Nothobranchius furzeri: one gene and its partner. The protein of the gene in region 1 interacts with the protein of each later gene in a pairwise test. Links are inferred from orthologs where the notes say so. Each region holds a gene or a part of one and is shown on either strand. Other genes may lie near its edges. The genes, in order: id1 and myf5.

Region 1 (3,289 bases):
CGGCTCATTCTGGAAGGTACTGAAAATGTCAAAGGTAAAACTGCTGAGATTGCTTCTGTGAGAGGGATTTAATGGAAAGAACATGTTTGGTGTCGGCCATAGAACAATCGAGATACGACCCTTTGAGTCTTCATGAAAGTTGAAACAGTCTGTGGGACTTTAAAATGATCTACCTGCGCCCTGAAGAGTCATACCAGCTTTGGTCTTTTGATCTTTAAAACAACATAAATAGGTAAAGTGGATGACAATAAGCAAAACTATTTTCTGTTGATATTCTGAGAGTTCAGCCTAATAAAACTTTTGTTTGTAGAAGTTTTCCTTCATCTTTAAAGGAGATCTGGGAGCTGAGTGGAGCTTCAGGAACCACAGGGACAGATTTAGTAGTGAAAGTGGGCTGACTGGAGGAATCCAGCGGCTGTCTGTGTGAGAATGTGGTAACATCATAATAAGGAGTCCTCCTCCTCCTCCTTTGTCGCTCCGCTGTTACCCGGCTGTCCTTTACTCTGCAGGTGCGGGGCGGTAATCTCATCCCGCCGCTTTAAGGTGATAAATGGAGGAGAAAAGGTTCCAGAGCCAGTTTGTTCTCAGGATCCTCCACGCAGGTGAATGGAGGAGCGCGAGCTTCCTTGTTTGACATCTCCACAGAGACCGCCCGAGCGGCGCCAGGCTGACAGGCGTCAGGGCTCGGATGAATGGGTGACGTCACCACGCTGGCGCCTGCCAGTCTGCTCGGGCTTGTTTGGACAATCTGGGAGGAGGGAGGGAGTGATGTGATCTGAGTGTGCACACATGTGAAGGAATCTGCTGCGTTCTGGGAGAATAGACAGTTTTGAGTTCTTCTGCTGGACACATTTAATGTTTAATAACCAGGGAAGTGAAATCAAGCCTCGCCCCCAACAGGTTCACCTTCACCTTCCCCGGTTACTGTCCCTTTGTCCGCCACATCTGCAGCACCAACTATTGTGAGAAGCAAATCTGGGGCACTGTGGTAGCCTAATTGTCAGCGCCATTCATCCCATTCACTCCGTCCCATCCCACACACCCTACCCGGCATGCACCGCCCACCCTCCGTCCCCAGGCAGTCTACACCTGCAGAGTACCCAAGCCGCGGACAGCTGGATTCCCACATATTACCCATAAAGACACACATTTGTTTCCATTTGTAACGCCATCCTTCTAACAGATTGTAAAGTCTGATAACCAGTCGCGCATCCTCATTGGCTGAGAGAGACGCACAGCACCGCCCTGTCAACACAACCGCACATCTCTCATTGGTTGACTGCTTCAAACTGGACCGCGCAGCCACGCCCCCTGCTGCTGCATGCCTATAAACCAGAGGAGGTTCCTCCATGTCAACTAGACAACTGTCAACACTGACTGAGAAGATCTCTGAGAGGAGAATACTCTTGACTTACGCCTCCTAATCAGCACAACATGAAGGTTGTTGGATCTACCTGTGCCCTGAAGACCAAGGTCGGGGGAGAGATCGGCCTGTCCGAGCAGAGCCTCGCCATCTCCAAGTGCAAGATCCCGCTGCTGGACGAGCAGATGAGCGTCTTCCTCCAGGACATGAACAGCTGCTACAGCAAGCTGAAGGAGCTCGTGCCCACCCTGCCCACAAACAAGAAGGCCAGCAAGGTGGAGATCCTGCAGCACGTCATCGACTACATCTGGGACCTGCAGGTCGAGCTGGACGAGCCGGAGAAGAGCCGCCAGCACGCCGTCAGCGGCGCGCCGCGCACTCCGCTCACCACGCTCAACTCGGAGCTCGCCAGTATCTCAGTGGAGGTAAACATCCAGTCAGTCACACCTGTGGTAACATACCTGCGTGGCTTACGTTTAACGTTTAAGTCGATGCGCAACATGCGTGCGTAAAAGCTGGTTCGCCATCTGTGACAGATCATAGATTCAGTGTGTGTGTGTGTGTGTGTGTGTGTGTGTGTGTGTGTGTGTGTGTGTGTGTGTGTGTGTGTGTGTGTGTGTAGACTACATGTTCTAACCTCCTGGTGTTTTCCTTCTCCTTCCTGCAGAACGGATGCTCGGACGACAGGATAATGTGCCGCTAAGATCCAGTGGAGCACCTCCCCATCATCCCACCGTCTGCGCCCGCCAACCAGAACCGACAAGGCGACTTGATGTGAATCCACATCTAAATCCTGAGCCTTGAACTGTGTAGGGACGTTTGAAACTCCCAACTGTTAGAAAAAGGACATCCTCAGGCCGAGATGGTCTCAACCAGCTCTCGATTCCTCCGAGGGCTCCTGGGACCAGAGGAGCACCCGTGGTGTCCAGATGCAGAAGACCGGGTTAGTCCGGGGGACCAAGACAAGTCCAGAGCAACCAGCGCTGCTCGTAGAGTTTTACGTCTCTGTTACACTCTGTATAATCACGTGTACATCATATACAGATCTCAATATTTTGTGAAAGGAAAGCTATTTCTCAGATTCCTGAGCGACCAAACTGTATTGTATATTACAATGCCACATATGTGAAGATATTGTTTCTTGCAATGTACTTTATTTGCGTTTTTATTAAAACAAGAACACTATTTTTGAACAAGAATGCCCGTGTTGTGTCTGTTGATATGAAACCAGAAGGAGAATGAGACAGATGATGTAGTTCTGAGGCTAACTCTGACCTCTGCTGTCAGAAGCTGCAGTCATCCAGGTGCCACCAGGCTTCAGCTGCAGGTAGACTAACATAAAGGCTGTGCGGGTCCCTACAGCACGGTGTCAGGTCAGGGGGAGAGTTTGTCACTAACCAATGCATTAATTTCAGACGTGATAAATTAAACATTAGCTCAAGCGTTCATAAAATGCTCGGTTTAGGGGTAAACACCGTGAAGCGGAGTCCCCGCCGGCTCCGCGGGGGTTAAAGCGGCTCTGGTGTGGAGATTTATTCCGTCTCCCTGGTGCGATGTTTTTCCCATTTCCCTGCGGTGCGATGCGCACAGCTGCAGCCCGGCGTGGCCAGTGCGTGATTGTGTTTGTGTGATAGCTTTGTGCCAAGGGCAGGGGAGGGCGGCGGGGCCCAGACTGAGCGGCGCCGCGGCACACCTGGGGAAGTTCAGGTTAAATAGCTGCACATTCCTCAACACACAGCTGATTGAAACATTAACAAACAGTAATCCACGGGCCAGGCCGCAGATGGGCCGGGAACCGGGCCAAACACACACACACACACACACACACACACACACACACACACACACACACACACACACACACACACACACACACACACACACACACACACACACAGGGTAGAGATTCCCACACAGCTAGCTCTC
Region 2 (4,035 bases), on another chromosome or scaffold:
CTTTTGGTGTTTTTCTACTTGTTTGGGTGTGTTTGAACCGACGTGTCCAAATGTATTTTACAAGAAAAACCTCAGAATGAATGAATGATGAGAAAACTTCTAAAATAACAAAAATCACATTTTATTTCCATATTCTCAATGATTTATAAACTATAAAAAAACACAGTTTTCTTGCAGCACAGACGTAAAAACACACGTAACAACCCCACCACCCTCCTCCTCTTCCTCAGCCACGCGATAATAAGTACTATTAGAGGCCATCTGTTCTCCACATGGGTGTTGATGGTGCAATCAAAGGTGTTAATGATGACTCACATTTGGTAGGAAAGGACAAACAGGTGGAGAAAAGTGGGAAAACACACAGCAACACGTCAAAACACAGAGAAGCTCAAAGATCACTTAAATGTTTGCATTTGTTGGTTGATTCATCCTAAAAACCTACAATTCACAAAGTTCCACGTGAATTTGCAGCAAAATGATAAATATTATCAGCTGACCTCTGATGTGATCCCTTTACAGCCAAGATGAGGACATAATAAATAACCTGCGCTTTTATTTTGAAATCTGCAACAGACTCCAATTTATCATCATGCTAATGATTGTGTCTGCTGTCAGCGATTAGACTGATGAACCATCTTTCGGCTTTATTTGGCTCAAAAAGGAAACTTCATGGAAAAGAAACGCATGAATTCAAGAAATAAATTTAACTTTTCAACTATTTTGAACAAAAACATAAAAATAACCAACAATCAAAACAAAGGAGTGTCAAAATTTGTTTAAATATAATCATTTATGAATAATTCAGCACTGCATCAAATATGTTCAGTGGAGCGTTAAAGCATGTGGGGAATAAACAGGCCTTATTTTACATATTTACAGTCTCATGTACAGTATTTAACGATGGTTGTTGCGTCGCATGAAAGCTGCTTCCCGTGGTTTGGTTGCAAGCGCAGCTGGCGTCTGATGACATCAGAGCGAGGGCCCTGCTTCACAGGACGTGGTACACGGGCCTGGTTCCGGGGCTCTCGGGTGTGCGCGGCTGAGAGTCGGAGCTGCCGGGGGAGAAGGTGGCCATGTCTCTCAGGGCAGAAGGTCCACAGCTGGACTCCACCGTGGACAGGCGGTCCACGATGCTGGACAGGCACTCCAAGCTGGAGGTGCCCATTGGTTTGTCATCCAAACTCTCTGAAACATGAAAATGAGACATTCACATCACTTTTTAGGGATAGTTTTAGCTCTCAAGCATCTTAATTGACTAAAAATGAAGAAAAAGCTGCAAATTTGTAAAATTTCTCTCTTCTAAATCTGGTTTCTGTGTGACCTCCAGAGGAAAACAGACACAGAATATTTCACCGACACGTTCACATCAGAGGCTCTCACCGTTCTTCCCATAGGAATAGCTGTGTGTGTAGTTTGCATTCAGCTGCTGCCACACAGGACTGTTGCCTCCAGCCTGTAAGAACACGAGAGATCAAATTTACCCTCGCACCGCTGCAACTTACAAAAACACACCAACAGAACACGTTAACGCAAACATCAAACGGACCGAGGCAGGAAAAAGTACTACAAAACGAGTCTTCATGTCAGTCAGGACAGGCCAATAAATCCCAAATTCCAAAGTTATTGGCTTCTTTATTTCACATCCATCTTAAAGTCAAAGTGGCGGTGCACGCTCCCCGCTCCTCCAAACCCCCCCTTCCCGGCCGAATCCTAGCGTGGCGAATCGATTGTATCAGTGGAAGCAACACCAGTTTGTGCAAGATGACACTTTCTCTGAGTAAATCTGCAGAAAATCCTGGCAGCGGTGCCGAGCATGCAGTCAGGATGGAATGCAGAAAAGCGCCCGGGTTTTTCAGTGAGGTGGATTTAGTTTGGTTTATTGGTGCGATGCAGCGTTCAGTGGTGGGAAGGCTGAATTATGTTACTCTGTTGTCTGAGATACGGTCAAAGACGAACCATCAAACAGGAAGTACGGAACAAAATCAGACTAAAAACTCTCCAGGCTGCAGATCAGATGATTGTTTACAGGATTATGCACAGCTCTGCTGGCAGGAAGCACTCCCGCCCTCTTTAACTGATGAAGTCTTGGGTTCACAGGCGTATCTAGCAGCTGTGGGCTTCAGCTCAACCAGATGTTTGCTTAGAGAGTTTGAACATGAGGATTAGAGGTCTTACCATGCCATCAGAGCAGCTGGACAGCGGGCTCCCCGGCTCAGAGCTGCTCTCTCCGGGTAGGCCGTAAAAGTTCTCCACCTGTTCTCGCAGAAGATCCTGCAGGCTCTCGATGTACTGGATGGCGTTGCGCAGGATCTCCACCTTGGGCAGGCGCTGGCTGGGGTTGGCCGAGGTGCAGCGCCTCAAGGCCTCAAAGGCATGGTTGACTTTCTTCAGCCGCCGACGCTCGCGCATGGTGGCGGCCCGCCTGCGGTCCACAAAACTGGACTTGCGCTTGCAGGCCTTGCAAGCCCACTGGAGGCAATGTCCGGGCTGATGGGGGGCTCCAGGAACTCGGACGTGCTCGTCTTCCTCAGAGCCGGCGAGCTCCATGGTGGGACCAAACTCCAGGCTGTCTGGAGACGAAGCGCACGCTCTGTCAAAGTAGACCTGCGATGGCGAGAAGACGTCCATGGCTTGGTGAAGAAGTGAGTCTGAACGGACGAGCACAAAGGAAGGAAGGAGGGTAAAGGTGCTGGGTGAAAGAGAGGAGACCTCTGAGTGATATGAGGGGTCTGTTGCCCCAGGCCCCCCTTATATGCCCCCTGGCTAAAGCCCAGGGCCTACATTGGCCGGATCTAATTACCATGGCCCATTGGCCCAGCCAGAAGGCAGGCTGGAGTTAGATCAGCTCCCTCCCTGCCCCATCCCTACCCCCCCAGTACCCTGCAGAGTTTCTCACATCTGCACTTACTGGCGTTTTCCAACTCATCCCCATTTTCTCCGGCCCTTCTCTGCCGAGGTCACAGTGAATGTTTCAGGAGTTTGTGGTCAAGGGGTTAAAAAAGAACCAGAGTCTTGTGTTTTTGCCGGTTGCATCTGTAAGCGGCCGGGTTTTGGGCCCCCACCACTGAGATGACACTTTGTTATGGAGACATAATTACAACAGAGAGTGCAATTTGTTCAAACTGAGCAGAAAAGCAGACCGGCCCCTCGCAGGAGCATGCAGGCCAATTTTTACGGTGGAGACAACAGCGTTGCAGATGCGGCCCAGCTGCAAAGGAAGGTGTAACATTTCAAGCCCCGCAAATTCACAGGACGGCGGCAAGCCCCCTCTGAACGGCCACGCTTGTCATCTGAGAGGTGATCCGTGTTTGCTGAAGCTCATGAAAGCAGCAATCACACAAATGTCAGGGCGGCTCGTCCGACCTCGAACCAAACTTTAACCGTCGCCGACACAAGCCAGGCACCGACAGACCACGGTGACCCTCGTGGACGAGGAGGGATCCGAGGGGCTTCCAGAGGGCAAACTAACAAAAACACAAACAAAACTAGATTCATCATGTTTTTTTATTTGATTTTACATCGAGACATTTTAGTTTTCATTCTGCTGACTGAAATATTTAAAAAACATTTGACATAAAGCTGAAGATAATGTATATTTTTAAAGAGCACCACGTACAGAATATTTGTTCAAAAACACAACTCGTCTATATTTTTATTTATTTATTTTTATTGCTCGTGAATACACATTTTACCTTCCGTTAGACGATTTAGCCCCTAAAAGTTTATTTTTAAGCGAGTGTTTTTTTTTTGCACATTTGCATTTTTAATGCAAAATAAACTTATCATTGTACTAAAATGTTTTTATAAACACCTTCCATTAAACAAAAACCAGGATTGTGGACTATTTACAAAATGAGGTGGAATTAAACGTATTTTTACATTCCTGCAGGTAATCGTGTTGCTGACAGCTCACAAGGATACAATGCGGATATTTTCTCACAATGTGTCAGAACGTTTGGCGCAACCCCTTCTCCCTGCATGGGAACGTTGCGCACCTAAGAAAACACCAGAAGCGGCCGCGACTGCGTCCGCACA

Evidence for each region.
Region 2: the proteins of id1 (region 1) and myf5 interact in binary tests that used the Homo sapiens proteins (3 or more experiments, as listed by UniProt). The link is inferred for Nothobranchius furzeri from reciprocal best matches to the Homo sapiens genes ID1 and MYF5.

The regions. Positions count from the first base shown.
Region 1 is NC_091743.1:40,070,757-40,074,045, reverse strand, and holds id1 (DNA-binding protein inhibitor ID-1), read left to right. Parts: upstream 1-1,334; 5' UTR 1,335-1,434; coding exon 1,435-1,788; intron 1,789-2,030; coding exon 2,031-2,066; 3' UTR 2,067-2,562; downstream 2,563-3,289. UniProt on the Homo sapiens protein: Transcriptional regulator (lacking a basic DNA binding domain) which negatively regulates the basic helix-loop-helix (bHLH) transcription factors by forming heterodimers and inhibiting their DNA binding and transcriptional activity.
Region 2 is NC_091741.1:40,949,378-40,953,412, reverse strand, and holds myf5 (myogenic factor 5), read right to left. Parts: upstream 2,742-4,035; 5' UTR 2,629-2,741; coding exon 2,176-2,628; intron 1,454-2,175; coding exon 1,381-1,453; intron 1,186-1,380; coding exon 989-1,185; 3' UTR 785-988; downstream 1-784.